Drosophila melanogaster: one gene and its partners. The protein of the gene in region 1 purifies or fractionates together with the protein of each later gene. This does not show direct contact. Each region holds a gene or a part of one and is shown in the gene's direction. Other genes may lie near its edges.

Region 1 (9,681 bases):
CTTAAAGGCGTGATAGACATTAAGCAACGTCAGGTGGTCTCCGTCAATGTGGGCGAATCGCATCTTGGCCTCATCGGCAGCTTTCTTCGCCTCGTTGGGGCGAACGAAGCATTGTGGAACTTTGGCACGTTTGAATTGGTTTAGTTTCGATTAAGCGCAAGTTCAAAACAATTTTTAACATAAACAAATAGATTGTGCTTTCATTTTGTCAGCTAGGCAATCTAGAGGCTTGATTCAAAGATTGATTGCATTTGTGAGTTGCAAGTGCGTTCGCGGAACATTAAAAGATAAAAACACTATTTATTCGGGCATATTTTGCACATCAATCCATTCAAATAATGGGCTTGGACTTTTAAACGCATGTGCAACTTTTCTTTTCGAGTTGAATGCAAAGAACAAATAAATTGAAAAACTTTTTCCTTTGCATTGTTGCTTAAGAAATTACATAAATCCCTTCAAGAATATAGAATATACTTCCCCGAAACCTCAGACTTTCAATTTATAACGTAGAAAGTATTCACGGCAGCCACTTTAACGGAAATAAATGAAAGTATGCATCGGCACAAATCGAAATTAGGTACAAGTCGTATTTACGTATTTGAAAAACGAAAAGTGACAGCCATGAAAGTATAAGTGCGACCCCCAACTTATCGAAGACAGTTTCTTAGATTTGTGTTTTATCTCACCCGACAACATGGCCGTTATGGAAAGTATTTCATTAGAGCAGTTATGTTGGCAGCTGGCAATCAGCATTTTGGCCAGCTGCGGATCCAATGGAAACTCGGACATAACGGCACCCAGGTCTGTAAGATTTCCGTCATCATCCAGGGCGGCCAGATAGTTGAGCAACTCCAGGGCACGCATCAAGGTCTCTGGAGCAGGGGGGTCCATAAAATCGAAATGCACCAGATCATCGATGCCCAACTTCTTGAGCTGCAGAACCACAGTGCCTGCTCAAAAATAAGAAACAAGATATTAGAAATCGAGTAATACTTCCAGGGGATCTAGGCATTACCCAAATTGGAGCGCAGAATTTCGGGGTAGGTGTTGTCCTGCATCTCGTTTTTAAACGCCTTTTCCGTGTACAGACGGAAACACTTGCCAGGACGCGTACGTCCAGCACGACCGGATCTCTGCTGCGCAGACGCTTTTGAAATGGGTGAGACGAGCAGACTCTCCACTCGAATGCGAGGATTGTACACCTTTTGCTTGGCGAAGCCTGGATCAATCACGAACACCACTCCGTCAATGGTCAGCGAGGTTTCGGCAATGTTGGTGGACACCACGACCTTGCGTCCAATTGCGCCATTAGCATTTGGCGGCGGGGCCGGTTCGAAGATGCGCTGCTGCAAATTGGGCGGCAGCGTCGAGTACAGGGGAATGCATTTCAGCTCTCCAATTTCTGAGCCCAAATTGTCGATCTCGCGCTTGATGCGCTTGCAAGCCTCCTCAATCTCCTCCTGGCCCGTGAGGAACATTAGGATATCACCTAGAGTAGCAAAATCAAGTTGGGGTTTAGTTTACAATGGAAAAAGCGAATGCGTCTTTTCCGGCATTGAATAGGATCATATTCAAAAGTCGTAAACACTTGAATGATTACAATACCATTAAAGCAAATACGAAGCATTTGCCGCCCTTCGGCACTCGGAAAGTTTATATTTTGCCTGGCACTTTTACATTGTAAACATATGATCGATAAATGCTTCTTAGAACAATGAACTAGCAAGCTATTAAATGAACTCCAAGCTAAACTCATTTACCAACTTACCCTCAATTTCCTCGCACATGTGTATCTGGATTACCGTGCGAATAGCAGCCTCTAGGTAATCTCTTTCTGGTTCGGGCGTGTAGAAGATCTCCACGGGATGTGTGCGACCGGGCACTTTCATGAGCGGTGCGTTGTCGAAATACTGCTGGAACTTGCCGGCGTCCAGTGTGGCGGACATGACCACCAGCTTAAGGTCGCTGCGCTGACGAATGACCTCCTTGAGCACGCCCATTAGAATGTCAGTGGCCAAGGTCCGCTCGTGAGCCTCGTCAAGCAGAATGACCTGGTACTGGTCCAGCATGGGATCAGACATGGCCTCGCGCAACAACATACCATCGGTCATGTACTTGAGCAGCGTCTTGGCCGTGGAGCAGTCCTCGAAACGGATGGAGTAGCCGACCTCTTCGCCCAGTTTTACGTCCATCTCCTCCGAAACGCGCTGGGCCACGGACATGGCGGCAACTCGACGTGGCTGTGTGCAGGAGACTCCCTTGCGCCCCTTGGATACTGCGAAGTCCACGCACCACTGCGGGATCTGGGTCGTCTTGCCGGAGCCAGTCTCGCCCACCAGCACAATACACTGGTGCAGGCTGAGCAGCCGCATAAAGTCCGCCTGGTACTCGAACACGGGCAGCGCAATGCGCTTCTTGTAGAGATTCTGGTACCGTTGTGAGTACGGCGTGTTGGTCAGCGGGTTCATCGTGGGCGGTTGCTTGTTGGGCACGAATCCGCCCAGGATTTGAGCCACTGTGCCGGCAGCGGCTGCCGCCGACGAGGAGGACGCCTCCGGGTCCCTGGTGAGAAAGGAGCGTTACATTACTGCCGTATGTTGGCCTCGGGTCACTTACTTCTTCGCCTTGCTGCCGTAGGTCTCCCCCACTTCGATTCGACGCTTGGACATGCTAATTTATGGTGATTACTGCACTTAATTCTCAAAACGAAGCGTTTAGCACAAAAAAAAACACGCGCTCAGTGAGACCTTTAGCATATACCGACCATGCTGATCGCAACTTTTAAAATACCAAAGTTTACTGTCTGTGTATACTATATAAGCCCATGGTTAGCGAAGATCACAACCAACAGCACGGCAGCAATTTGGCATTTAAAAAAAAACAGCAGTTCAAGCTTAAGTCTTTTGACGAGAATCTATCTATAGAATTCGGTTTTACTCACCAGTTTGAAGAATAGTTGTGAGCTCACAGTCTTAAAATTGACATTTGACAGCAATTTGATTGGAAACTGATTTTGATTTTTACAGTAACAAACTGTTACATGGATTCGGTATTTTCGGCTTGGGTTGGCGCTTTAGCGTCGGCCACACTATCACATTGTATCGATTCGGAGGGAGTTGAATTTTTGCACGTATTTGAAAGCGCAAAGATGCGAAACAAAGAGCAGGATATCGAATGAAAGAGCTCCTGCGAGACCAGGACTAGTTGCCTAACCACCATGGAAATACCCATTCAGGTAGCGGTGCGCATCTTCCCGCATAGAGAGCTCAAGGACTTGTTGAGGAGCTTCGGCCCCACAGAGCCCAAAAAGGATGCGCAGGCGGTGGATGAGGGGGCGGACTCCAAGGACTCCGAGGCTCAAGTTCCGGCGGCTGAGAAGGACAATCCGTCAATTTCAGAGACGGACCCAAACGGGAATGCTGAGCAGGACAGTGCGGCCGATTCGAAGACAATTCCAGATGCCAATGGCAACGACAGTGGTCAGAAGGATTACCCAGACTCCGCATATTGCGTTCAGGCTATTCCCATCAGCGCTTCGGCCCTGGGATTGCCCAGTGCCCTGCCAGGCGGAGATCCCATGGACAGCATTGCAGCTGGACTGATACAAGTCGGTCCCCACACGGTTCCGGTCACCCACGCCCTGCCCAGCAGCAGCTCCCAGGAGCAAGTGTACCACCAGACGGTCTTTCCGCTCATCACCCTGTTCCTGGAAGGTTTCGACGCATCTGTAGTCACCTATGGCCAGAGGGGCCAGGGCAAAAGCTACACACTCTACGGAAACGTCCAGGACCCTACTCTGACGGATTCCACCGAAGGAGTCGTCCAACTTTGTGTCCGTGACATTTTCTCACACATATCGTTGCACCCAGGTGAGTTTACTAAAAGGATCTTATAAGCATAGTTATCCATTTCCATTTTCACTTTAAGAACGCACCTATGCCATCAACGTGGGATTCGTGGAAATTTGCGGAGGTGATGTCTGCGACTTGTTGGGCATGGGAAACATACACTGCACCAACGTAGATGCCGTCTTCCACTGGTTGCAGGTGGGTCTGTCGGCCCGCCAATCGTTGCCGGCGCACACCCTGTTCACGCTTACCCTGGAGCAGCAGTGGGTGTCCAAGGAGGGGCTGTTGCAGCACCGCTTGTCCACGGCCAGTTTCTCGGATCTCTGCGGCACAGAGAGATGTGGAGACCAGCCACCGGGACGTCCTCTCGATGCTGGCCTGTGTATGCTGGAGCAGGTGATCAGTACTCTCACAGATCCAGGCCTCATGTACGGGGTTAATGGCAACATTCCGTACGGTCAGACCACGCTCACCACTCTCCTGAAGGACTCGTTCGGCGGACGGGCTCAGACGCTCGTGATCCTGTGCGTGTCACCGCTGGAAGAGCACTTGCCCGAAACTCTTGGCAACCTGCAGTTCGCCTTTAAGGTGCAGTGCGTACGTAATTTTGTAATTATGAACACCTACTCCGACGACAACACGATGATCGTTCAGCCGGCTGAGCCTGTTCCCGAATCCAATTCCTCTGCTGGACCCTTGTCGCAGGCGGGACCAGGGGACAACTTTGGCCTACAATTCGCAGCAAGCCAATGGTCCAAACTAGTTACCAACGCCGAGGGGCTATTTTCCAAGTAAGTGTACACATTATTTCCGATGTGGGCCTTTTGACGACAAAAGAAATTTATAGGCTGATAGACTCCAAGCTAATTACTGAAGTGGAGAAGGAGCAGATCGAGGAGTGGCTCTTCCTCAAGCAGGAGTGCGAGGAGTGTCTCAGCTCAACAGAGGCTATGCGTCAGCAAAAACAGTTGGTTCCCATTCTGGAGGCCGAGGAGCCCGAGGACGTGAATTCTGAAGCAGCCAATTCGGAGTCGCCAAACTCCGACAACGAAAACGACACAGACAATGAGTCGCATCGGCCCGATCTGGACGACAAGATAGAAAGTCTAATGGAAGAGTTTCGCGACAAAACAGACGCTCTTATACTTGAAAAACACGCTGAATATCTATCCAAGCATCCGAAGGCGGTTATGCAAAGCCAAGACCGCGAGATTGAGGCACAGCCGCCAGAAGAAAATGGTGATGATCGAAAAGTCAGCATTGGCAGTAAGTCTTTGCCTTGAATAACATTTTTTTATACAGTAACATGTTGATTCCTTGCTTTAATAGGTCGCAGGAGAAGTGTTCAGCCAGGTGCTAGCTTAAGTACTGCTGAGCTTGCCATGCTTAATCGGGTAGCTTCCCAGCAGCCGCCTCCGCCCATCGATCCTGAGTCGGTCGTCGATCCTCTGGAAAGTTCTTCGGGCGAAGGAATCCGTCAGGCGGCTCTCGCTGCCGCCGCCGCCACTGCTCCTATTGAACAGCTGCAGAAAAAATTGCGCAAACTGGTCGCTGAGATCGAGGGCAAGCAACGACAGTTACGGGAAATCGAAGAGACAATCCAGGTAAAACAAAATATAATCGCCGAATTGGTCAAGAACAGCGATACACGCAGCCATGCAAAGCAAAGATTTCACAAGAAACGTGCCAAACTTGAGGCCGAGTGCGACAAGGCCAAGAAGCAGTTAGGTAAGGCGCTAGTTCAAGGCCGGGATCAGTCGGAGATTGAGCGATGGACCACGATAATCGGACATCTCGAGCGTCGACTAGAAGACCTCAGCTCAATGAAGCATATTGCGGGTGAGAGCGGACAGAAGGTGAAGAAGCTACAGCAATCGGTGGGCGAGTCGCGAAAACAGGCCGATGATTTACAGAAAAAGCTTCGAAAGGAGTGCAAGCTGCGCTGCCAGATGGAGGCGGAGCTGGCCAAACTACGAGAATCCAGGGAGACTGGCAAAGAGCTAGTGAAGGCGCAAGGTTCTCCCGAGCAACAAGGCCGCCAGTTAAAGGCAGTACAGGCTAGGATTACGCACCTTAATCACATTTTACGCGAGAAGTCGGATAACCTGGAGGAGCAGCCGGGACCAGAACAGCAGGAGACCTTGCGTCATGAGATCCGCAACTTGCGCGGAACTCGTGACTTGTTGTTGGAAGAACGCTGTCATTTGGACCGCAAACTTAAGCGGGACAAGGTGCTGACGCAAAAGGAGGAGCGCAAGCTGCTCGAGTGCGATGAGGCCATCGAGGCCATAGATGCGGCCATAGAATTCAAGAACGAGATGATCACGGGCCACCGCTCCATCGACACGAGCGACCGAATTCAGCGGGAGAAGGGAGAACAGATGCTGATGGCACGCCTAAATCGTCTCTCAACGGAGGAGATGCGAACACTTCTGTACAAATACTTCACGAAGGTTATCGATTTGCGCGACTCTTCACGAAAGCTGGAGCTGCAGCTGGTGCAGTTGGAGCGTGAGCGGGATGCCTGGGAGTGGAAGGAGCGTGTTCTGTCCAATGCCGTGCGCCAGGCTAGACTGGAAGGCGAACGGAATGCGGTGCTGCTGCAGCGCCAGCACGAAATGAAACTCACTTTGATGCTGCGTCACATGGCGGAGGAAACGTCGGCCAGTTCGGCCAGCTACGGAGAACGAGCTTTGGCCCCTGCCTGTGTCGCCCCGCCGGTGCAGGCCAGTAGTGATTTCGACTACGATCATTTCTACAAAGGTGGCGGCAATCCAAGCAAGGCACTGATCAAAGCGCCAAAGCCGATGCCCACCGGCTCGGCGCTAGACAAATACAAGGACAAAGAGCAACGCAGCGGACGCAACATCTTTGCCAAGTTCCATGTGCTCACCAGATATGCGTCAGCTGCCGCAGCCGGTTCCTCAGGGTCCACGGCCGAGGAATCCACGGCCCTGATTGAGTCAACCACCACGGCCACGGCAACCACTACGTCGACAACCACCACTGGAGCCGTAGGAAAAGTGAAGGACAAGGCCCTGGTCAGCTTCAGGCCGGAGCAGCTGAAGCGTCTGATGCCAGCTCCGACGGCCACGAAAGTGACGCGTCAGAAGAACAAGATAATTATCCAGGACGCAAGTCGTCGAAACTAAATACGAATTTAACCATTTCCAGGACGATATTATAAGGTTAAGCCAAATAGCCATATACAATTAATAGCCATGAGCTGAAATCCAGCCACTTTAATAATTAAGGCGATAATATAAAAAAATGCTTAAAAATGTATAACAGATTACTCCCATATACATGCATACATTTTAATCAATAGTCCGACATATATACCAGCTTGAATTTATTAGTTTACTGCTTGTCGTTTAACTTATTAAAGTGGCTGGAGTTCGATATCTTTTTAAGTGTGAAGCAATAGCTCAGATCCTGGTAACAAGAACTGAACAAGTTTCGTCCACAGTCATGACACAAATAGACTACAACACATGGTTCTCATTCCGGCTCTTTAGCTGGGGAGCATTTATTTTAGAAACCCCCACACGTACATACACCTAGCATATGAAAGTAACTATCCTCATGAGATTCAACCGTAAAGACTTGACCTGCTACTTAAGATACTCGCAAGACAAACCGTACACAAAACTCGCTCAAAGTGTTGACCTAAGTCTCCGCATTGTTTAACTTGTACATAACAATAATTATTAGGTAACCACTTAATTTTAATTGATTTTGTTAGTTTTAGCTTAGTTGTAAACACTATTGTGTCTTCCCTCGAATTTTAATTGACCTTCGATACCAATTACAACATACGTACTCCATACCCAAGTGTTAACCTTTAATATTCTATCAAAAGCATTTACTCTGTACAACTTATAAATGCTTCAAATCGCAGTATTTGCGCTAATCCAATACTCATTTTGCATTAACTTAAAATTAAAATTCAATACTGTTTGGTTGTGTACAACGTATTTTTTATTGTCCATTGATATAGATGCAGTTTGCACTGTACTCCGAGTAACTTAAATTGATATTAATGTATGTATGTTCCCTCAATATCAGCGTGTGAAAAATTATAAACACATTTGTAAGCATACATATTCCGCCAAATCGCTCGGCATGGCTTTGTGTGGATATTGTTGGTTAAGCAAATAAATATATACAAACTAAACTAATCAATCAGTGTTTAATCAGTGTTTTATATTCAAAATAAAATAGTTATCGTCTTATAAAGATAATTAAGTTCTACATTTGCAGCTGAAATCCAAGCAAACACAGTCCACAAGGCAACAGGTGAGAAATGTCCCAGAAATTTCCCAAACAATCGCCCCTTCGGACACACACACACACAGAAAGCGCAAAGAGAGAGGATGAGAGGGAGAGAGAGAGAGCGCCGGTTTAAGCGTTGTATCTAAATCCGATGGCGAGTATCTGAGCATCCGATTCAGTCTTGTTTGGACCGTCGAGCGATCGAGAACCGGATTTCAGCGCTAGTCGGCGAATCGCGAGAGCGTGCGAGTATTTGTGTGTGCGTGTGAGCGTTTGTTTTGGGACACCGATACGGATACGGGTACGGATAGACGGATATACGGCAGCGGTACGCGATTAGCAATCCGCCAACCGGTTGCAGCGGTGCTAGTGCACCACCCTACAAAAAAGTGAATAATAGTATGCAAAGTATCTGAAAGATAGTCAAGAGCAGAGCAAAGTATCTGTGTTTGTGTGTGCCGTGCTTTTGTGCGGAGTCGCCACCCCCGTGGATTAGTGGCACCCTGCTGCAAATAGCCCACCACTCTCACAAGTGTGTGTGTGTGAGTGTTAACAATTAATCGCATTTAAAAAACAATTTGGCCAGCCGCAGTAACAATAACGGTAAGAAAAGTCGGCGGTACCGTTGGGAAATTTTCACCGTTGTCTGGCAACTTCTTTGTGCCCGTCGTGTATGTATAGGTTGGGTGCAGAAGTGTGCGTGAGTCCTGCCCACGCCCACCGAGTAGCGCTAGTCTGCGAAATCAACTGCAGGATGCTGTAGGTTGATATTTTATCGGTTAGATGATAATAGTCTTTGGTCTTCCTTATGATTTTTCGCCAGACGTTAAGTTTTTTCAATTTGGGAATGCAAAAACGGTTACTTTATGCACCGTATCACATCACACACACTTGCAAAAGGGTGTGAAAATGTACTGCCATGAGGGAGGAAATATGCATGTTCTACGACTCCCAAACAAGTTTCATACTAAATTTCCGAATGTCTTGTTTAGTACGTAGGGGAGTTTCTATATATTTCATGCTACTTTTTATTTATAAATCGAGTTTTAGAGGAAATAATTGCAGTCCCTGAATTTTCAGCGATTTTTTTTCGGCGCATGCGCCCTTGGAACCGCAGAAAAGCAACTCTGTGATTACCGTTGTATTCGCTTGTGCGTCCATTCGTGTGTGTCAGTCAGTGTGTGTGTGTGTGTGTGCAACCTGTGCCTCCTGCCGCCAGGTCCTTGGTCCTTTGTCGCCGTCAGGTAGTTTTCAGCTTTCCCTACTCAAAACGCTTCATTCTCAAGAACCTCTTAAAATTCTTCGCAGTTTCCATGTGGCACACATACGTCGCGATCCTTTCAGCGCACATGTGTGTGTGTGTGTGAGTCCTGATGTTAGTGTTGTTTCATCCCCTGCTTGTAAAATCACTGAAATCCCGTGCAGCTGCCTTCGTCCTTTCCTTGCTGGTGTGTCTGAAGTTTCCACTATTTGATTTTGCAAGTGTTGCACTACCCTCCTCCTCCGCTTCCTTCTGCGTCTGCTGGCGATATACTTTTTATTTTCCTGCTTCTTTTTC
Region 2 (6,488 bases), on another chromosome or scaffold:
AAATTTTAGTACTTTATTTTCTAGGCTGGGAAAGCAGTTTCAATAAATAGCATTTTAAATACTTTGCGCCCTTGATGCGTAAAACATACACATTTTACTTTTCAATTTATAGGGTACTTCATGTTAGCTGACACAAGGATTTGATATACATTTTAATTAGCCTTTTACAAATGGCGTTTAAGCTTATAAACAGGCTAAAAAGTCTTTCTGTGCACGGCTTTCTGTCCCTCCTCCTCGTATTCCCGCTTCGAGATCCACATCTTCTTGAAAGTATCGAGCGAGGCTAAAATCGATCCGCCCATCCATGTGGAGTACAGACGTTCCTGCGGCGCAGCGATCTGTTAACATAAATTCGTGAGTTTCAGAACTCATGGCACAGAACTATACAATTGTTAGAAATAATTACCCTGATCTTGAGATCCTTAGCCGAGTGTTTCTTCAGTTCGGACAACAGACGGTCGCCGAATCCTTTGAAGAGCGTTGATCCGCCGGACAGCACGATGTTCTGGTAGAGCATTTTCCTGAGATCCATATCTGACTTCTCGATGGAGTACATCAGAACGTCGTGAATGCCCTCACATTCCTCGCCCAGCAGATCGGGCCGGAAGAGCACCTCCGGCGCCCTGAAGCGTGCAGGTCCAATCTCAAAGATCTTGCCGTCGGGCAGCTTGTAGGCAAACTTCTCGGTTTCCACGGTCTCCTCCTTCTGCGGATTGGTGGCCAGATAGCAGACCTTCTCCTTGATGGAGCGCACAATCTCAAATTCGGCAGTCGACCGGAAGTTAAAGCCCTCCCGGCGGATGAGTGTCTTCAGGTAGCGCGTCACATCGCGCCCGGCGATGTCCACGCGCATAATACTGTGAGGCATGGCGAATCCCTCGTAGATAGGAACCGCATGCGTCACACCGTCGCCGGAGTCGAGCACTACGCCAGTCACACGACCGGTGGCGTAGCTGCAAGAGTGTGGTTAAATGAAATCGATAGGGGCAGTTCGTGAGATTGCAATGCTTACAGACTGAGCACCGCCTGCATGGACACAAAGAGCGCAGGTGCATTGATGCCTTCAAAGAAGAACTCGGCTGCCTTTTCGCGGTTTCGGCGCGGATTAAGCGGGGCCTCGGTCAGCAGCACGGGATGATCCTCCGTGAAGGTGGCCAGTTGTTCCTGGTCAATGCCATTTAAAACATTTAGTTAAGATTATGGAACATTTATGGACAAATTACTTTGCTGTAAATGTAGCTCCATATCCGCTCCATGTCATTCCAGTCGGTGACAATGCCGTGCTCCATGGGGTACCGGATGCTAAGCAGGCCACGGTGCTCCTCCGCCTTGGGTCCAACGAATATGTCGCCCTCCAGCGCACCAGCCATCACTCGGACATGCTTGGGCCGGCCAATGCTGCAGGAGAAGGCATTAGTTCTAGGGGTTCTTAAGGTTCGTGAGTGGTCCACGGCACTTACTAATTGGGAAACCTGCATTTTGGAATGTGCTCACCAGCAAAGCCGGCTTTGATCACACCGGAGCCCTGTCAAAAGTGATGTGGAATACATTTAGTTAGTTGCGTCAGCTTATTTTATTTAAAATTCAACGTGCAAACAGGAAATCTATATAGTCAACATGGAATCCTTTAGTGTGCCGGAAGTGGACATGATGACCGTGTCAAAGAATTCGCAATACGAACGGGAATCGCTACTAAAGTTCGCACCGCCAGTTGGACTGACCAACATCAGCTACGGCAGCTTGTACAAGGTGGACTCCTTCTATTTGGAGTGCCAGAAGTACCGAGATCAATTCCGCGATCCCTACAACAAGCTGCTGCGCCCCAAGATGTTCAGCACATACAGGGGCAAGTGTGGTGTGAAGATAGATCCCGAACTGGAGCGCTTAAAGCGACCCGCTGCCTCCCATGTGGAGTCTATTCCCGTGGTTTACCCAATGGAGTACGGGCACCAAATGGACTTCGACAGAGGCTTCCAGATGCAGGGACGCAACAGCAGGGATGCAGCCACCGCCCGCAGATATCCGTGTGTGCGTGTGCTGGGCAGATAAAGGGATTCCACGCAAGCTTTATAGACCAAATTCCCCGTTTTCGCTGTCTTCACTTCCGAATTGAACCATCTCTGGCGTTTGCGGAGCTATTCTCTCTGGGATTAGTCATGTTGGCCATTTGAAGACGGCTTGAAAGCTCGTTGACAAAGGGACGGGCGGTAGGTGATGTCACTGTTTGCTGGCTAAAACTTTGGGAACCCTAGATTTGCACAAAGCTACCCGCATTTAATGAGCCCCATCTCCACTTACGTTATCTATGACGACGGGCTGGTTGACGACGACATCATAAGGCTCCATTTTGTGCGTTTATCAAAATTTGCAAATTTTCTATTAAATAGTTGGTCAACAGGGTGACCGTAGGTGGTTGGCAGAAATAAACAGCATGTAAAAATATACCACGGCAAGAAATACTCAATATTTTACATGGTGGTGGTTTAAAGCTATATGGATATATATTTTCACTGTTTTTCTCTACATTTTAAAAATAAGCAGAAAAAAGTAAGAAAGTAATAATTATTATAAAAAAGGTTTTAAAAATAAATAATGGTTTTAAAAGAAACTCATGTAAGTTTCCATTGTCAAATCCGCACTTTACATGGCAGTATTTTTATTCATGGTATATTCAAGCGGTGGTATTCCGCAACGTTCCAACTGAGGTCATACTGATCAAACTGGATGAAATGGCCGAGGCGAATTTGGACAAAAAACCTGAGGTGAAGCCTCCGCCGGGCCTTAAGGCCATCATAGACCACCTCGGGCAGGTGTACCCCAACCAGCCGAACCCGCTGCAGGTGACCACACTGCTCAAGTACTGGCTGGGCGGTCAGGATCCGTTGGACTACATTAGCATGTACAACTATCCCGGAGATGTGGATAGGAACGTTCCGCCGCACTGGCACTACATTAGTTTCGGACTCAGCGACCTACACGGGGACGAGCGAGTCCACTTGCGCGAGGAGGGCGTCACTCGGTCTGGCATGGGGTTCGAGTTGACCTTTCGCTTGGCCAAAACAGAAATAGAGCTAAAGCAGCAGATTGAGAACCCGGAAAAGCCCCAAAGACCGCCCACCTGGCCGGCGAACCTGTTGCAGGCCATCGGACGCTATTGTTTTCAAACAGGCAACGGGTTGTGCTTCGGAGACAACATCCCGTGGCGCAAGAGTCTGGATGGCAGTACCACTTCCAAGCTACAGAACCTGCTCGTCGCCCAGGACCCGCAGTTGGGCTGCATCGACACTCCCACGGGCACGGTGGACTTCTGCCAGATCGTCGGCGTCTTTGACGACGAACTTGAGCAGGCATCGCGTTGGAACGGGCGCGGTGTGCTCAACTTCCTTCGCCAAGATATGCAAACTGGCGGTGATTGGCTGGTGACTAACATGGATCGCCAGATGAGCGTCTTCGAACTGTTTCCCGAAACGCTGCTAAACCTACAGGACGATCTGGAGAAGCAGGGTTCCGATCTGGCCGGCGTTAATGCAGATTTTACGTTCCGTGAGCTGAAACCTACCAAGGAGGTGAAGGAGGAGGTGGATTTCCAGGCGCTGAGCGAGAAGTGCGCCAACGACGAAAACAATCGGCAGCTGACGGATACGCAAATGAAACGCGAGGAACCAAGCTTTCCACAATCCATGTCGATGAGCAGCAATTCGCTGCACAAGTCCTGTCCCCTGGACTTTCAAGCGCAGGCACCAAACTGCATTTCACTGGACGGTATTGAGATTACCCTCGCACCTGGTGTGGCCAAGTACCTCCTACTGGCCATCAAGGATCGCATCCGACATGGGCGCCACTTCACCTTCAAGGCTCAGCATCTGGCGCTCACTTTGGTGGCGGAATCCGTCACCGGCTCGGCGGTGACAGTGAACGAACCGTACGGCGTGCTGGGCTACTGGATTCAGGTCCTGATTCCCGATGAACTGGTGCCGCGCCTGATGGAAGACTTCCGCAGCGCGGGCCTAGACGAGAAATGCGAGCCCAAGGAGCGACTGGAGCTCGAGTGGCCCGACAAGAATCTGAAGCTGATCATCGACCAGCCGGAACCTGTGCTGCCCATGTCGCTCGACGCTGCTCCTCTGAAAATGTGATGGTGTCCATTGGTTAGCTAGTAGTTATTTAAATTAATCGAATTGAATCTTCCACTAACGAGTAAGTTTTACATTTATACATCTCATCTAACACAATGCACGTGGCCTTTGCTCCTCGCCGGAGTCCAGTCAAAATATACAAACACATACATATACCCGAAACCACTCGACGGGCCTTTGATCGCAATATGAAAAGAGGAAGCGCCGGCGCCAGGAGCGGCGAACAATTCGCCGGATGAGTCAAGTTGGGGTCAGGCTATTGAGCACTGGAACAGTTCGCTTTGGTGGCTGCGGCGGATATGGCCACTTGCAGGCGGTGGAAGTCATCGCCACCGACTAACCACCAATTGATGGTATTGCGCAGTGGACCGCCGAATGCTTCAGTTTCTAATTCTGGGAATTGATCAATTAGAAGAGCATTCAATTTGAACACAAAATCCCGCCCGGGATCATGTGATTGCGCGAGGAACTGGACCTGGAGCAGCTGCATCATCAGCCTGGCTGATGGGAAACCCTTGACGCATCGCTTGTCTGAGCGTTGCCTAGGTGAATTTTTGTTTACCGCAGAGAACAGTTGCTCTGCTTCTCCGATTAGGCGCCCCTCATCAAGTGAGCGAGCGATTTTTCGCAAAAACAGCTCGTGGAAAATAATTCAGTTTTCTTCATTCCGCCGCCGACGACGCAAGCGTTCGGTTGTGTGCTCGCTCGAGAGGTCTCCACCCGACCACTGATTCCCGCGATTCTCGAGTCGGCTTCATCTGATTCCCAGAGTCTTCAAGTGAATCGCACGTCTGCCTGCAGCGACTGGAGTTCCGGCTTACAAGTACGTAGAGGAGCGGACTTGAAGTTCGTCCAAACGCCGGCGATTACATAAGGGCCAACCCATCGACCGGTGGATGACCTTCGGTTTAGGCAGTGACCCCCCTTGGGATTGAGCTGGGTGTCGAGCGAGCACGTGCATGGCGTTGATAGCGCGAACTTCGGTGATAGCCGCCAAGAACGACAGTGGTTTTAGTTGTATTTCTTTATTTTTACTACAATTCCGTCGAGCGGTTCGCATTACATTGAGTTTTCGCTGTGGCGGCGATGCGGTTTTTTCGGCTGCCCCGCGGCGGGAAAAAGAAACGTTTGCAGAACGGAACGCTGCAATGAACCGTCAACCATAGACAGTAGACCCACCTCGAGCTACCGCGCCCCGAACCCCTCAAGTGCACTCGACAAGGGCATGCATAATCGAAAAATGCGACGAATTTCAGTTATCGCTTGTAATGCAATCTGTGTTCTGCGCAGCTTTAAAAGTGCATTACAATGTTGCTGACCAGATACTAAGCAGGGAAATTGGAGGCGGAATCGAAAGTTATGTGGCCATGATATCTTTGGATATTAATTTGAACCAGTTTTTTTTATGGTTCCTCGTTAACTGAGCTTTGCAATTTAATCCAATTTAAACTTTTCGTTGGCTAAATAAGTGACTAACATGCTAAAGAACAGAAGGGTAACTTATTTAAAGATACAATTTATGTTATTTGAAATATTCAAAAGTAAAAGGCATCCCTTATATCTTTATACCTTTATAGCAATTCCCTCAGCTTATCTCCAGTCGAAACTGAGATCTTCCCTAGTAACTCTCCCTTAAGATCTAGCCTTTGTTGCTCATTTAGTTCGCCTCTGGTTCGCCGACAATGTAAACTGCATTTTCATTTGTCGGGGGCGCAAATAGCGATAAAAGTGTCCAAATATTTGACCAGCCAATTCCGCGTCAGTCGGCGATTATTTTCCGGGATGGGGAAATGCGAGTGGCACTGGTATCATTTCGGCATATTTGGGTGCAGTGTGGCTTACTGATACGCGGAGTGCGTCCAACCGATTCAATGCACTTAAACCTCATACACTATATGATAAATTTGCAGGCAGCACTCCGAATCCAATCCTAGCCAGCAGCCATGGCTGAGAATGAACCGCTGAACGACCTGCAGAGCCAGGTGAATGGTCGTATCCTGCCCGCCGCCAATGGACATACAGCATCCGCGACCAACGGATTGGTGCATGCGAATGGCAAGGATGCAATGAAGCCGTCAGCTCCCGTTCAGAATGGGAATGGCAACGCGAACGGGACACACATCGAGGCGCCCTGCTGTCGGGACATACACGGCAAGGAGCCACCGGACGGAGGAGCACGCGCCTGGCTGGTCATGGTGAGCGCCTTCCTTTGCAACGGCATCATCTTTGGGTTCATCAACACCTACGGCGTTATCCATTCGCTGCTGACGGATAGGCTTACGAAGCTCGGCGATCCGGAGGCGTCCAGCAAAGCGGGTGAGTGTGTCACGGAAATCGGGTATCGAGTATGGG
Region 3 (7,327 bases), on another chromosome or scaffold:
GCTCCCCGCCCGCTGTTTTGTAATTGGCAATATAAGGAATGCCCGAGGTATCTATTTTTATACCGCTTAGCATAGTCGTTATGGTGATAAATTCCGAAGGGGGGGTGGGGGGTTTGTTCGTTATGCTTTTCAACCCCGTGACCTCCCACCGCGCCCAATGGGGCATACTTTTGGGGGCGCCGGGAACTGGGAGGTGTTTTAATTCCACCATCGTTGGTTTATTGAAAAGTTGTCATAACTCAGAACAGACAAGCCAGCAAAGTTTCGAGTCCTCTCAATTGCGGGCAAATACAGGCAGATCTTAAAACTATAATGTTTCATTAAATTCACGCCGTCATTGAATCGAATATCGTGTTTTCCCGTTGGTAACTATCTAGATATATGAACTAATTTAAAAGGAAAACTCAAGGTTTTTATGTAAAACGAACGCGTGGTTTTTCTAGCAGCTCATTTTCATTTCAATTGAACTTTAAGATGAGCTTAAAACTCGCCTTTCGCATTTCAAATACCAAATAATTGGTAAACATTGCCATTTACACAATCAATCATATTATAACTTCTTCGGGTAATGAGAATGAAAACCTTTTCTTTTGGATTGAAAGTGCAATCGGATTCCGAGAGACGCCATAATCATAATAGTGCGCCCGCGGATGGGCATATGTTCATTTGTACATACATACATCTCATCCGAATCGGACTTTGAGCCATGTTCTCGACACGCGAGATAAGCGGCCGGCAATCAGAGAACTGGTTTCAATTGCGGATCGGGTCAAAATCGCCCAACCTTGGGCCATTGTATGCAAGTTGTCTGTGCGAAACTCAATGAGCATAAATTAGTCTCAATGCAGGAATGCCTCAAGTGTCCGGCCGCTCGTCCATTTCCATTGTCCAACCATTATTGCAGCTGGCCAAGCGCTGGCTTATCACTCGAGGCGAGGCCCAAAAGGCGAAGATAGAGACGAATGATAATCAATTGGCCATAAAACGGGTGAAGTGTGGATGGTGTTTGGGTTAGCCGGGTTAGTCGTCGTCTGTCTAATCGAGTGGCAATCAATCAATTTGGCAAATCGGACAACCAATTCACAATCTAATCCACAGTCTATCCACGATGAGCAACAGCGAAGGAAGCGGCCACGAAAGTGGAATCCGTACACTGAATCGCAATGCGAATGGAAACGGCAATGGAGACCTCAGTCTGATGCAGGATCTGCAGCATAAGTACGCCTTCCTCGAGAATCTCTTCAGCAAGTTCTGGAAGTCTATCATCAAGTCGAATTCCAATCTCAAACTGCAGTTGCGCAATGTCAAGTGGAAGAATGCCAAGGCGAAGCCCGGCTGTGCCTACCAGCCAACGGAGGTGAGTTCTATACATTGTATGTGTACAGTACACCTGACGCCTAAACCACATTTACTCTATCCAAAAAAAAACAGATCGAGCAGGTGGCCAATGTGATTACTCACGGCATTTGGATACTGCCCGCCGTTTTTGCGGCCATCAAGCTGTTTGAACGCTCCTCCAGCGCCAGCCAGTATCTGGTTGCTTGGGTCTACGGCGGAGCCCTGTGCATGCTCTTCACGGTGTCCACCTTCTTCCACTGCTCCTGCTATTGCGCCGAGCACAAGTGAGTGCGCACACAGGCTGATTTAACCATTTGATTTGTACATTTTTGTATACCTCCACTAGACCACCGAAGAATGTCAAGGCCTGGCCCTGTCTCGGCTGGCAGACGTATCAGGGGCTCAAGAACGTGCTCCATCGCTGCGACAGGGCGATGATCTATGTGTTCATCGCCGGATCGTACTTCCCCTGGCTCACGCTAGAGAACACCGATCATTCGGCCATACTCTTCTGCATGGAATGGGTCATCTGGCTGATGGCGGGCATAGGAATTGCCTACCAGCAGGTGGGTTCATTTACAGCACCCGTGTTCACATGCTCCTTAAGGTGAAATTTCCTTTTGTTTGGCGAAAACAGGTCTTCCACGAGCGCTACAAGTGTCTGGAGACGTTCTTCTATCTGGTGATGGGCCTGGGACCCGCTCTAGTCGTTGTGTTCACTGGCCACCACTTCCACGGTATGATGCAGCTCAAGTTCGGCGGCGGCTTCTACATTCTGGGCATTGTATTCTTCAAGGCGGACGGCACGATACCCATGGCCCATGCCATTTGGCATCTGTTTGTGGTGCTGGCCGCCGGATGTCACTATTACGCCATCCTGGTGAATCTATATCCAAGCGAGGGAGCCGCAGCACCGTGAACAAACGAGCGCCACAAAGCAGTTGTGGTAACATGCAGCGAATTTAGAACTTAGAGTACTTAACGACAGGGATTCGATGTTGTCAGCCATGTGTAACGTATTCCTATGATATACCCGATGTACCCGAGTCTCTGCTCCACAATTAGCCAAATTTTAAGCGAGCGAGGACGCCTAGCTTGTAGTCTAGTTGTAGCATTACGAACTAACTAAATCGAAACGATTCTTGTGATCAGTATGTGCGGTCTTGCCAAAGATTCAAATTGTGCGAGTGCTCATCTCTCCCTCTCCCTCTCAACTTTAACTTGATATTATTAGCGATATTCATATATTTAGTATCCATAACGACCCGTTTTGGCCATGTGTTTCTCAAAAGACTTTGAACCGTACTCAAAAGGCAAAGGACACGAATATTAAACTTGTACAAATATCCGAGAGTTAACGACCTGAACCTTTTGAACACTAGAAGCCCGCCTATCCCGCATTGCATTATGCATGTTTATACAGATTATACAGATATATTATATACCCATATATACCCATATACACAAGTAGATAGAATTAAGAGGCCATCCGATCCGCGAGTCCAGCCCCTTCGGCCAGTTTCATCGCCGAGCTCAGGGACAAATCGATGTGTTCGCAGATACTGAAGAAGGTGACTATTTACAAATACGCTTGATATCTTGATATTTTCGGGGCCTGGCTCGCGATCGGCGGATATAGCTTTCGTGTACTACTCGTATTTATGGTGCAGATCGATTAGTTTTAATGGCTCTAATAAATTGTATATTTCCAAATGAAAGCAAAGGGCTCAGATGTTTGTTGCGTGCTCAAATATAATTGTTCGTTTTACAATGTTATGCATGTATCTTGTTTAGCTTATTCATACATCTTGTTTAGCTTTAAATATATGAATATACATATATTCTTTTTTTGGTTGCAAATATATATATATTATTTTATTGAAAATTTTTTTTTGTTTGTGTAGAATTCTAAATATTTAAATGAACGAAATCTAACGGGGCTCAAAAGACATAAAATTGTATCTAATTTTAATTCGTTATTTTCTTTTCTTTAAATGAAAATTTCAAGCTTGATTTGAATTCCCATATTTGAATTTTATGTGACCGTTACGAATCAAGCGAAGGTGTGAAACTTGGCTAAATGGGTTCGTGTATTCGCTAAATGGAGTGAGTCTTAACTAACGCGGTGTAGAAAATGAACAGTGTGACCAGCCGAGTGCCTAGAAAAATAACGAAAACGCGTTTAGCCACCGTAAAGCCACCCAAATAGCTTAAATTGACCGACAACCGCGAAACGTGCACACTGCTTTGTTGTTGCCGAAGAAGGAAAGTCGCGCAGTGAATTTTTTTCTGGTAATTTTTCTTTGCTCCTCCTGACACTCGCCACGTAAATCAAACACACGATCCAAGTGAATAAGTTAAAACGTTTTAAAAATCATGACAAAGAAGCTGTTTTGTGTGCCCCATGCAATCCGTGTAGCTACAGAATAAGTGTGTGAGAAGAAATAAATCCCCATCGAAAAAACAATACACACACAGACACTGCAGCATGTACATATATATGCATATAGATATATATATATACATACATGCACAGGGTTTCTAGCGTGACGTGAAGTGTATATAACGAAGCGAAATTAAAAGAACACGCAAAAAGAGAAAAGTGGAGAGGAAACGATAGTGGAAAACACGCAGACATTGTGAAAATGCGCATAGATCATATCGCAATTGTAGTAGTACAATTACAAAAAAACCAAGCATTTTTGGAGTTTTTCTTTTCTTTTTTCAAGTTATACATGTTATTTTTTTTGCTGTTGGCCTCAAATACATACATATGTACATCTGAATAGAGCGAGTAAAGAGCAGTATACAGATACTCGCTGTTTTTTGTTTCTTATTTTTTGCTGTATACGGTTTTTTGTGAAGTTATTGAGCTGAAAGAAGAGTGCAAAAGCGATTGACGAGCCGAAAACATGTTGTAAAATTCCATTCAGCATTTCCCACCACTACCAACAACAGCAAAGCAAAAGCAAAGCCGTTTTTGCTCGCTCTCCCACTCCTTCTCTCTCTCTCTCCCGTCCACTCGTTGTTACTTCATGTACTAATTTTTTTTTCTGTGCTTGCGGCTTCGTCATTCGCATGTATATACATATGTGTGTGTTGCGCCTACGTGAGAGAGCGTGCGAGTGTGTATATGCCCGCAAACGCATAAACACACGCGCACACACTTGCAAGGCGATTCACGCGCCTGGCTTACACTTTGTTTTTTCTTTTTTTTTTCGTTTCCGTTACAGTTGTGTAGTACATAGCAACATGCAAGCATCGCCCAAAAATCATATGCACATACACATAAACAGTAAGTTGTACATAAAAACAGCAGCGTGTGTGTGAGTGCTTAATTCTTTTTTTCCATTTTAGTCTCTAACTAAATAATAATAACTAAGCCGCTGGGTAAGTGGTTTTGTTCGTATACAAACAGCTTTTTGGGGCAAAGAAACAACAAGAGAAACCCAAGGGCAGTAAGAACATATAACGAAAGGTAGGCGAAAAAGACAACAACACACATGCATACAGTCGCGTCCAGTTGTGAAGGGCCGAAAATTCTGGAATAGATTTCGCTTTACCTGAGTGTTTATCGCGTGTCCCTTTTTCACTTCCTTTAGTTCCGCTGCAAATCGACTACCTACATTTACGCATATCCTGTATACATATTACTTCCTGTTTCACCAACTATGCCACCATGTGTTTCTTGCTGCGCATAAATTGGAGTATTTTGTGATTGCTTTTAATAAGTAGATATGTACCTATTTTTTGGTGGTCGACTGTGGCGACCGCCCTACGTCGACGGCATTGCCAGCTGTTATCATCGAAGGCAACGTGTTTTGGCGTACACTTCACTTACACATGTGTCCCTGGTTAAGATATGACATATTTTGGAGTTTCCCAGAGCTTCTGCAATTAAAATAATTGTAATTTCTTCGTTGAGTGTTTATATAGCTTTAGTTGGCGAAACATTATTTTAAAGATCCTCATTAGCGACACGCGCCTTTCGGTTTATGGCCCTCCCTTTTCCATTGAAGATCAGGGATCCTGGATATTTCCAGGCAGGTAGTGAGCGCAAGGGAAGATGTTCGCTTCGCCCTCCGTTGTTGTCTCTATCGTACGCTCAGCTGCCGTATTTTTTGTTTTTCAAGTTGCAGCTGGCTGGTGGGAGAGGAGTGGAGTGGTGAGGAGAGGGCAGCTGCATTTATTTCCTTTTCTCTTCATCTCCGCTTCTCGGTGGGTCATTCCCCTTCTTGCTGTTGGCAATGACGTCGCATCGCAACGATCGTTCCCTTCGCTTAAAGCGTATTGGAAATATTGGAAATGGCGGTAGCTAGTACTACCCCCACCTCCACCAACACTCTTAATTCACATTTCTGCATTCCATTGAGGTCATTCCCTTGCGCAAATTGCACGTTACACAATTCCCATGAGCGTTGCACCCCGTTTTAAACCTTATTTGGTCTTCAGTTAATAAAAGCTTCCCAACAGTGGTCTCTAGATAATGCAACTACTTAGCGTCGTTATTTAAGAGTATATTTTGTAGCGTTGAATGTTCTTATTTCGATGTTTTTATGGCAGATAATACTGAGTTAAATGAAGTTGAATACGTCCTTGAAAGTATATATGTTTCGGTTCCGCAATGTCAAGTGTTCACTGTACTTTTTAAGCTCGCTCAATGTTTTAAAAAGCATACATGCATACATATGTACATACATGCGCATTTGGATACACTTGAAATAACAACAGTATAATAACAATCCAAGCGGACGATCAGCTGGAATGTTCGATGGATCGTTGATTGTGTCTGGCAATGCCGCTGTGATTTTGTTTCCAGACCGAGATCCATTCATGCATGCGGGTACATGACTCATTTTCCCAGCTGAGCGATTGTTAGATGCACAGATGTGTACATGCATCTTCTATATGTATATATGTATACATTAGCTCATGTACTTAAATGGGCTTTTATCAGCTGTTTAGAACACACATTCACTCAAGCACTGCATAATAGTGCTGCTCTATTTACACAACTGTGCTCCAAATTAGCAGACTACTGTTATCAAACTGTAAAGTTTTTCTCGCATTTTGTTATTGCTTTACAATTCGCTGGCGCTTTCTCCATCTCTTTCCCTCGTACACTGCCGAAAAATGTCTGCTAAATGGTGTCAATGAAATCAATGAAAGCCTGCATTGTTTTTTTTTTATTATTGTTATGTAATATTTTTTTCTGTTGTGTATCATTGCAATATTATTTGCTGCTTTGAATTATTAAACAGCTAAAAAAGTCATATATATTAACATTTTATCGTAATATTTAGAAATAATTTTGAACTATTTGTTTTCAATTTTTTAATATGATACATTGGATATATTATTACCACGCATTGTGATATGCATTTTCCCCAAAAGTTTTGTCCGTGATGGACTTTCTTTTATTTTGGTTTTTGATTTCATGGTGATTTAGCTTTCACCCATCTGCATATGGAAAGTCTATGGGTCTTTGGTACTCTATTACTTATGTTTGAATTTTCTTTCATTTCTGGGCTCTCCCATTTTCGGAATGACCGACCTTCTGGTTACCCTTTTGTATTTTCCCCCCACCTTTTTGCTTTTTCCGTATTCACAGCTTGTGACGCTTTTCGTTTCTCTATTTCCGCATTTTCCGTTTTCACGCTGGAAAGCGAGGTACACACTCTGTTTTATATATTTCTGTACATATTTTCATTTTCCTTCCCCTGGGCTTCTTTCTTTTTTTTCGGCATTTGCTGTATATTGTGTACATGGGAAAAGAGCAGCCCTCGAATTTGATGACCGTACCACCCCATTCCAGCCGGCTTTTATTCTGGTTTTTGTGTTTCTGAGCGACCCAATGCGATTTAGGCCGCCCCACCCACTTGGCCGCCGCCCCCCTTTGCGCCTTCGTTTGGCTGCCCTCGTTTTCTCTGGCTCCTCTTCTTCCCCCTTCTCCGCTGCTCGCATCTCTTTTCGCAGCTTCGTATTTTCC
Region 4 (8,846 bases), on another chromosome or scaffold:
CGACGCAATCAACACACACTTGACCACATCGAAGTTGACGTGCCGCAGGATGCTCTGCATAACCTGCTCGTAGAACTTGGCCAGTCCCTTCTCGTGTTGCTGGACACTGCCCTTGCGCTTGCGCGGTATGGAGACCTCAATCTTGCTCCGCACCAGGGTCATACTGGCGGTGATCAGGCAGACGTGTGCTAATCCCTCCTGCATCACAACGGCGGCTACATCCGCAGACTGTGTGGGATCGCAGGCCATTTCGATGCGCTCTAAGGCAATTGTGTCCCATTCCGGCTTACGCAGCTCGAACTTGCGATTCAGCTCCAGGTCGAGGGTGTGATAGGCGCCCATCTTGACATACTGGTTCTCCTCGATGTTTCTGCCTTTAAGGCGGAGCACACAAGCCTGCGTATCAAAATCTATGCTCTCCACTGCGATGGTTAGTGTGGTGCGCACCCGGCTGCTGGTGGAGGAGCCAGTAGCCGTTTCATTCTGCACCTTGCGAATAGTGGTGCTGCGCACGCTGTCGCCTTTCGCAATCAAATTGTAGGCGTGCCACATATCCTCGGACTCCTCCGGCACCAGGGTCACATTTCTAAAAGAATTTTCGAGGCATAACGAAAATAGTTTAAGACTCTGGGGATATTCACTCACCCCTGCATGCCCTTGTCCACGTATTTGCCCAGCAGCTTCATCCCGTCTCGTTGCTGGTCAGGATTTGGTATTTGTTTCGTCGGCAGGCACTGCCTTTATACCGAGTGCTTTGATTCCTCTAGCCGCTTGTCACTTGCACCCAGATTCCAGTAATTCCCTCCGTTCACAAAGGCGGCGGTGCATCGTTGTCATTGGGTTCACGCAGTTGCTAAGTTCACACCGCTGATCGAATCGGCAGGATGGTGTGGCAATGGTGGTGGTCAGTAGAATCGGCGGCCAAGTGACATTCACCAGGGGCGAACGGTGATGTGCGACTGGCTATTTTGCCGCCAGGATTGGCTTTCTTAAAGTAGTTTGCATAAGCTACCATTCAGATTTTTTTCTATTTCTATGAATAAATAACTTATAGTTATAAATAAATATTCTACATGCACATGTACATTTTGGTCTGGTTCAATAATTTATATGAAATAAGCTTATATTAAACTAGCTTATTTATTTGCCAGCACTTTGCCGGCTATACCAGCTGACCCCTTTGGTTTAGTATTTTCTGGTATTTTTCGGCATTGGTATCCGGTGTCCAAAAATTGGGCACTCCAAGCCAACCATGTGCGTTGGAAACAACAATTGCATTAAAGAATACACATGTTTATTCAAAATTTCAATTTGAAATTACCACTTTGTACGAATGTTCACTTAAATCTAAAGGGTTACTAGACTAGCAGTCGCTCGATCTCCTGCTGAATGGAGGTGATCTGCGACTTGAGCTGGCTGCCCTCGTTGGTGGTCACAGAGCAGGCGACTATTGGCCGGGAAACTCCGCACGCACGCCCCAAGGCCTGCTTGGAACGAACGAAGACGTAGGGCACGTTCTTGTCCTCGCACAGGAGCGGCAAATGGAGCAGAATCTCGATGGGCTCCGCATCACCGGCCAGCACCACAATATCGGCCAGTCCGCGATTGAGGGTCTTGGTGGCCTCGTTGGCTCCCTTGCGCAGTTGATTGTAGTTCAATGCTTGCTGCAGCAAGTTCATGATCTTGGCGGTAAGCTGGGCATCGGCCAGCGGGAATGCCTTGGGATTAACTTCCTCAGTCTGCAAAGATTGGGATACTTGTTGAAATTTACATCTCTCGATGCTAACGTGGATGCACTCACCATATTGGCTTGTTTATTGTATACTTTTACTGGAAAAAAGTGCTTTAAAATGCAACCTCTCCGCTTGCTGCTTCACTGAGGGCAATTGCAGAACAATTGAAATCGCTTTCAAACACGTGCGTTAGCGTTAGAAAACCGTTCGCAGGTGGTTCGGAAATACCAAATAAGACTGGTCATACTGCCATCTAGGCAATACTAATCGTAACGGAAATTGTGTTCTCTGCAGCCCTAGCTTAAATATACTTTTGATAATTTAAGGGAATTCCCAAATAGAATTTCATAAAATAAAAAAGGAAATCCATTTAAAAATATTTCGTAAAATCGAATCTAAACTTACTTCATAATACAACGTTTCATTAAACAAGTGCTCTATTTTTATTAAAAATTATATCTTTCATGCAGCTTAGAACTCTTTAAACATAACAATAAAATAATCCTTACAGCTTACGAATTATATATTATTATAATTATTTATTAAAATTTTGGATAACCGCTAGCTATTTCCGATCATTTAGATTTTCAGACGGAATAGAACCCGCGCAGTAGGGATTACTCATGATTGCGCCGCACGGTTCACGCTGAGCGAGCTGCCTATCGCTGGCCTACTCACACCTGCGTGCTGGGGCGCATCCGCGAGTCGCGTCAGTCGAAAAAAAAACTTTGAACGATTTGGTCGGGAAAACTCGGTTCGGCGGCTATGCGGGTATTTTTAATCTAAGCCATCAATCCACAGCTACAGTGCATCAAATCGATCGGAAAGTCGAGGCAATATTTCTGAAAGTGTTTACAAATCGCTGGCATCGTAGTCGTAAATTTCAAAAAGGTAATTTCGCGCAGCGAAAATGGAAAAGCAAAGTCAAACAAACTCAGAAAAAGGAAATGAATGTAAAAAATCGATTATTCAATCTGTGTATGTGTATGTTGGTGTGTGTGTGTTAGGTGAGCGCTGAGTGTGTATGCGTGTACGATAGTGTTTGTTTAAACCACGGGATTTTTTTATGCCCAAATCGAATGGCGAAAATTTAGCACACCGAGCAATAAAGGCCAATTTAACTAATTTAAAGTGTGCGAAATGTGGAAAAGTGCCTGCGAAGAGAGCGCTGAAGAGAGATCGCAGAAGTAAAACCAGAAGCGCATACATATGCACATCAACTCGCACACATACACACACGCACACCAGTGAACGCAAAGAAGCAAAAGCAAAGGAAATGAAAAAACAGAAGCCAAAGCAAAACGGTGCCAAAAAAGTATTTAATAATTAAAATAGGCGAAAATGAGAGGGAATGCGCGAGGAAAAGGAAGCAGCACTGCGTAACAGTGCGTGAGTGGGAGTGAGCTGGCACTACGGCATCAGCTGTTTGACACTTGACACGATCGAAAGTCGCCTCCTCTCGCTCTCTTTGCCATTCCTCTGTTCTCTTCTTTTTATTATTTTCTGAATTTCGAGTTTGTGTGCGATTTTGTTAAGCTTATTTATTCAGTGATTATAACCAGCTTTTTATTAAGCTCCATAAAAGTGCCAGCAAAGCGCTGAGAACAAAAACAATATGAAGTGAAAAATGCGAAAGAGCGAAAATACATAAGAAACTTAAAATATAATCTATATGTGTGCATAAAGAACTCGGAAAACTGGACTCTTATTTTTAGCCCCTTACCGAATATCCCGCTAATTTGTGCCGTTTTCTCTCCCGTCTCTCTTTGCAGCTTCTCAAATTAGAGTAAATCGCGATCATAAGCAACCTTAAAGTGTGAAACCAAATGTTAGTCTAAGCCTAAAGTGTATAACTAGTTTAAGACCTCACAAATTAAAGAAACCAATACGTGCTAAAACCATAACTTAAACGCGTCTTAACCAAGCGCCTTTAAAACGCAACCTAAACACCAATTTAAAAGGATATTCAGCGAATAAGAGAGTGAGAGAGCTCCAGTGAGAAGCTCTCTTTGGCCCATAAGGAGCAACTATTTCATCCGCACCGTTGACCCGTAACTCGGCAAAATAGCTAAGTCCATTTTGCAGTTCCTCAAAAAGAAAAAGTCCCATCATAGTTCCACATCCGGCGAGGGCAAGCTACAGGCGCAGTCCAGTTGCGAGGAGGAGGGCGGAGCGGCAGCGGGAGGAGCGGGAGCGGCAGCGGGACCTCCAGCGGACCAGGCTAGCAGCAGCAGCAGCGGCCCCTCGTCAGCAGCCGCCGCCCACAAGAGCACGCCCCCTGCCGCCACGACCACGCCCGGTTCAGGGGCGGATTCAGGAGGAGCCAGCGGAGGAACAGGAGGAGGGGGAGGAGGACCTAGCACCTCCGGCGACGATCAGGCCCAAGTGTCGGCCAGCGCAACCTTCCGTTTGTCATCGCTAACGGGCACCATCTCCAAGATGGGCAACAACGCCACCACGTCGAATAAGAAGGTCGATGCCGCCGAGACGGTGAAGGAGTTCCTCGAGCAGGCCAAGGAGGAGTTCGAGGACAAGTGGCGACGCAATCCGACCAACACCGCCGCCCTCGATGACTTCGAACGGATCAAGACCCTGGGCACCGGCTCCTTTGGCCGTGTCATGATCGTCCAGCACAAGCCCACGAAAGACTATTATGCCATGAAGATCCTCGACAAGCAGAAGGTGGTCAAGCTGAAGCAGGTGGAGCACACGCTGAACGAGAAGCGAATCCTGCAGGCCATTCAGTTCCCCTTCCTCGTCTCGCTGCGCTACCACTTCAAGGACAACTCCAACCTTTACATGGTGCTGGAGTATGTTCCCGGTGGCGAGATGTTCTCCCACCTGCGCAAGGTGGGCCGCTTCTCGGAGCCGCACTCGCGCTTCTACGCGGCGCAAATCGTGCTGGCCTTCGAGTACCTGCACTACTTGGACCTCATCTACCGTGATCTGAAGCCGGAGAATCTGCTGATTGACTCGCAGGGCTACCTCAAGGTGACGGACTTCGGTTTTGCCAAGCGGGTCAAGGGACGCACCTGGACACTGTGCGGCACGCCCGAATACCTGGCCCCGGAGATCATTCTGTCCAAGGGCTATAACAAGGCCGTGGACTGGTGGGCGTTGGGCGTACTCGTCTACGAAATGGCCGCCGGCTATCCGCCGTTCTTTGCGGATCAGCCGATTCAGATCTACGAGAAGATCGTCTCCGGCAAGGTGCGCTTCCCATCGCACTTTGGCTCCGATCTGAAGGACCTACTGCGCAACCTGCTGCAGGTGGATCTGACCAAGCGCTACGGCAATCTGAAGGCGGGCGTCAATGATATTAAGAACCAGAAGTGGTTCGCCTCCACCGACTGGATTGCGATCTTCCAAAAGAAAATCGAGGCGCCGTTCATTCCGCGGTGTAAGGGTCCCGGCGACACGAGCAATTTCGATGACTACGAGGAGGAGGCGCTGCGGATCTCCAGCACCGAGAAGTGTGCCAAGGAGTTTGCTGAATTCTAGAGGAGCTCTTCGCCAGTCAGCCCAATCCCCTCGTTCTGCAGGCGCCTGCAACTGCAATTGTATCCGCTACTGCGATTGTATCTGCAACTGCTCCTGCTGTTGCCACCGCCGTGGCATCGCGGACCACGTCCTCATCGTCGTTGTCGTCGTCTTGTCTATATGTCTACTACTTACAACTACAACAACTGTAACAGCCCCTCCCACAACACAAAAACTACAGCCACATCTTCGTCTGAATATCTATCCGTATATACTCCACATCCATACTATTGCCAACATTGGATTTCTCACCACACACAACAATTTACATCAGCGTAAGTATATAATAATTGAATTTAAAAATGTTGAGGGTTTTGAAAAATATATTGTGAGTTAGAACCCTTTGAACAGCGAAATTTAGTCAAGCCTAGAAAACTCAGTTGGTTTACTCAGCAAAGAAAAACAAATACAATTTCACATTCCGAACCGTAGGTCTAGGTTTCAAAATTTGTTTACTTCATAATTCATTCACTTTATTTATTACTAATAACAACATTCTTATTCACGCCTAATCATACTGATAACACGACTTGAGATTTTTAGTAAATAACCACAATATAAACATTAGGCTATTACTATATACTTTATTTTATTTAGAAAGTGCATATTATAATTGTTCTACTGCCTACCTTTAGAATGGTTTATGAAGAGGAATTACTATTGACTTACAGAGATATACGGGAAAAGGCGAGTTCCTAATTTATTATGCCATATATCAATCTGCAAATGCACACAGAAGGCTATTTCTATTTCTCACCATATTTGCTGTACGGGATATTAATCTATTGACTGTATTCCCTACTTTCTTTGGTAACGATTCACTGGCGAAAGCGAAGGGTATTCAGGGCAAGGGTATTGCAGGTTTGTTTTTGTTTTGACTTTAGCTGGAGATTGATGGACTTGAGTGGCTTGATTGATTGATTGCTTTCAGCGGAATGTTTTTGCTTGTTTTAGGGAGAGCAAGTGAGTGAGTGCCAGAAAGTTGATTATGAGACAAAAGGCATTTCAGCTCGTCCGTCAATTGTTCTGCCCGGGACAGTACACGGAATTCTTTTAATTAGTTTCCGTCGGTGACTTGGCTTATTGCGATACGCGGATGGTTACCCTGCGGCACCCAAAACCTACGTGATGTTTTCTCAAAAAGATATTCGAGCATGACCACTTACTCACTTATTTGCAGCCAGACCCCCGGGGCAGTTATACCCGTAAACATCGAATCATTAATTGCAATAAGCGTCAGAATGCGGTCGTAAACGTTAACTGTAGCAGCCGGGCATAGTTCAGACGGGTCTAATCTCCACAACAGACAAACTAGACAGCTGATAGTAACAATGCAAGCCAATTACGTTCAAAGGAATTCTCGGTGCTTAAAGTAAATTTACACAAAAGTTGGTGGTGGGTTGTAAATCATGAAACTTTCTAGCTATAATTATTTGAATTCAACTGGAATGTATTCAGTTACACTTTAGCAGAAGTAAAGTAAAAAGCCATTTAACTTATATTTCGAATCATTCTGTGATACATCTTCTTTAATTAAATACCAAAATGCTTTTCCATTTTAATTTCCTGGGACTCCCACAATTTCCACACAGAAATATAGTCATTCACACTTGACCCATTTGAAAGGCCAACAAAAAGGGGAGAGAAAGCCATGAATAATGTCAAAGCAAAAGGCAGTAAAAGAAGTATATCTTTTATTTTATGAATTATTTCTCGTTTCTTTGCGGAGCTACAAAGAGCTAGCAGCTAGATTGCGTGCCCGTTGGCCATTACCGAAATTGTGTTTCTTTTATCAAAGCCAAACGCTGCTGGTAATTAATAAATTATAATAAGTTTTATGTCCAAACATCATGAGCAAAACAAAAGCAAGAGCTGCGTGCGAATGCCGCATAAAGTTTAGAAATTGTGGGGAAATGCGAAAAACTAAAAACAGAAACGCAATCAAGAGTTGTTAATTCTGGGAGAAAAGCTTGACTGCAGATCAAAGGGGAAAAATCCGAAATATTCACGCCAATGTTCATGCGGTAATCGTTGGCCGTGACCTTGTTCGACCTTTGGCCTAGCCCCAAAAGAGTTGTCCATCCGAACATTGGTTTTTTTTTTTTTGGTTTCTCCTTCGATTCCCTGATGTACATATATAAGCATTTCCATGCGACATGTGTTGTCTACAGTTTTATTGGCACCAATTATGTGTATAAATGTATGTATAAACATTCGGTTGTTTCTGTCGCTTGCTGCCTGAGAAGGCCATCAATCATTTGGTTTTGGGCCAAGTCAATTAGACCCGTAGTCATGGGTACTAAGTGTCGGGCATTAGGTTTACTTATTTACATTAACTCGACGGCTTTACTGATTGCTTATCAATGCAAAGGCGGTGGAGGAAGCGTTATCACGCGAAGAAACCAGCTGGGTGGGAGTGGGGTGATTGGGAGGCACGCCCTAGTATTCGATTTCCCCTGATAAGCCAATTAAACTCTTTCTTTGGCAACGAGTTAATGCTGCTCTGCTGCTCCAGTGAATTTTATACCATTTAATTTTAATAATTATATATTTCCGCTTTATTTTACATTTGTTTGATATATAAGTGAATAAAGAGCTAAGCTAAAAGTCTCATAGTTGAATAACTTGATTGTACTGTTAGTACTTCCCTCGTTTCTGGCACTCTTCTAATTTGGAGCAAGCTAAGAGCCAAAGTTCAGCTCCCAGCTGGATGTCGCTGAGCAAACTTGTTCTCAGAAGTCGCGGCACAAGCACTCAGATATCAAGCAACATGGATTCAACACGCATTCGTTGTGCTCCAATAAACACCTAGACCAAGCCAAGTTTAGCAGTCAGCCAAACAACACAGAATGCAACTGCCAACGCGCTTGTGAATCTGAGACGTTGTCTGGCCAATTTCGGGCTAACAGGGGGAGGTTCGCTCGGGGGCGTGGCGGAACGGGGGCGGTAGATCTCAGACATAACGACCAGGCCGGGCAGCCTTGTAACAGTGCCCTCAAAATCGAGCTTTTTAGCCAGCACGCACGCGCTGCAACTGCGGCCAAGTAAATGGCGATGGCGATGGTGATGGTAACAAAAACACAGAGATACCCAGACAATGGTCGTGGAGAAGTGAAAACAATTAAGTCGCCGAGAGGGGGAAAAGCCGGAATTTTCCGAGAATTCAATAAGGTAAATGGTTCTGGTTCCCCCTGGTGACCAATTCCATTTTCGTTTTTAAACGAGAGAGACACCGAAGTAAATGTAGTTCACTGGCAAAAATTTACAAAATATTTTCAGTAATTGAATAAAAAAGATTCATAATATGAATAGTGAATATGACTTTAATTTGCTTTATTATAAACATACAGTTATATATGTGCAATCGAAGTTTTCCATGCTCTCAAGTATTTTTATCCGTGTAAGCAACTACAATCTGACTGAGTCAACGCGTCGTATGAGCAATATATGCAAAAAGAGCGAAAAAGAGGCAAAGCTCAAATTGTATTTTCGTTTTCATACGCATGAAGAATAAATTAAACGATTTCTGCCTTTGCCTTAATTGTGTTTGTTGATTTTGTTAACTTTTTCGCT

What was found.
Region 2: the proteins of cos (region 1) and Su(fu) purify together in Drosophila melanogaster (affinity purification with western blotting; 3 studies listed by BioGRID, with this or other methods). This does not show direct contact.
Region 3: the proteins of cos (region 1) and Sxl purify together in Drosophila melanogaster (affinity purification with western blotting; 2 studies listed by BioGRID). This does not show direct contact.
Region 4: the proteins of cos (region 1) and Pka-C1 purify together in Drosophila melanogaster (affinity purification with western blotting; 2 studies listed by BioGRID). This does not show direct contact.

What each region holds. Positions count from the first base shown.
Region 1 is NT_033778.4:7,380,516-7,390,196, reverse strand, and holds cos (costa), read left to right. Parts: upstream 1-3,081; 5' UTR 3,082-3,217; coding exon 3,218-3,869; intron 3,870-3,927; coding exon 3,928-4,639; intron 4,640-4,695; coding exon 4,696-5,114; intron 5,115-5,177; coding exon 5,178-7,000; 3' UTR 7,001-8,021; downstream 8,022-9,681. Other genes in the region: Dhx15 (DEAH-box helicase 15), read right to left, coding at 1-119, 687-950, 1,016-1,489, 1,769-2,562, 2,617-2,669. UniProt on the Drosophila melanogaster protein: Regulates cubitus interruptus (ci) processing by recruiting multiple kinases to promote its efficient phosphorylation.
Region 2 is NT_033777.3:12,687,680-12,694,167, reverse strand, and holds Su(fu) (suppressor of fused), read left to right. Parts: upstream 1-2,699; 5' UTR 2,700-2,729; coding exon 2,730-4,136; 3' UTR 4,137-4,295; downstream 4,296-6,488. Other genes in the region: CG31347 (uncharacterized protein), read left to right, coding at 1,618-2,049; Arp1 (Actin-related protein 1), read right to left, coding at 195-338, 407-953, 1,013-1,164, 1,224-1,398, 1,461-1,525, 2,299-2,346; kar (karmoisin), read left to right, coding at 6,080-6,452.
Region 3 is NC_004354.4:7,094,304-7,101,630, reverse strand, and holds the start of Sxl (Sex lethal), read left to right. Parts: upstream 1-3,577; 5' UTR 3,578-3,630; exon of another isoform or gene 3,631-3,686; intron 3,687-3,862; exon of another isoform or gene 3,863-4,007; intron 4,008-4,564; exon of another isoform or gene 4,565-4,633; intron 4,634-4,695; exon of another isoform or gene 4,696-4,816; intron 4,817-7,146; exon of another isoform or gene 7,147-7,327. Other genes in the region: CG4615 (uncharacterized protein), read left to right, coding at 1,109-1,357, 1,432-1,622, 1,685-1,904, 1,976-2,257. UniProt on the Drosophila melanogaster protein: Sex determination switch protein, which controls sexual development and dosage compensation in females. Sxl protein is only active in females: it is inactive in males throughout development.
Region 4 is NT_033779.5:9,692,893-9,701,738, reverse strand, and holds the start of Pka-C1 (protein kinase, cAMP-dependent, catalytic subunit 1), read left to right. Parts: upstream 1-2,441; 5' UTR 2,442-2,624; exon of another isoform or gene 2,625-3,037; intron 3,038-3,307; 5' UTR 3,308-4,172; coding exon 4,173-5,234; 3' UTR 5,235-5,548; intron 5,549-8,846. Other genes in the region: pelo (pelota), read right to left, coding at 1-586, 646-686; hoip (hoi-polloi), read right to left, coding at 1,359-1,739, 1,802-1,804. UniProt on the Drosophila melanogaster protein: Serine/threonine-protein kinase involved in memory formation. Promotes long-term memory by phosphorylating meng and by regulating CrebB protein stability and activity.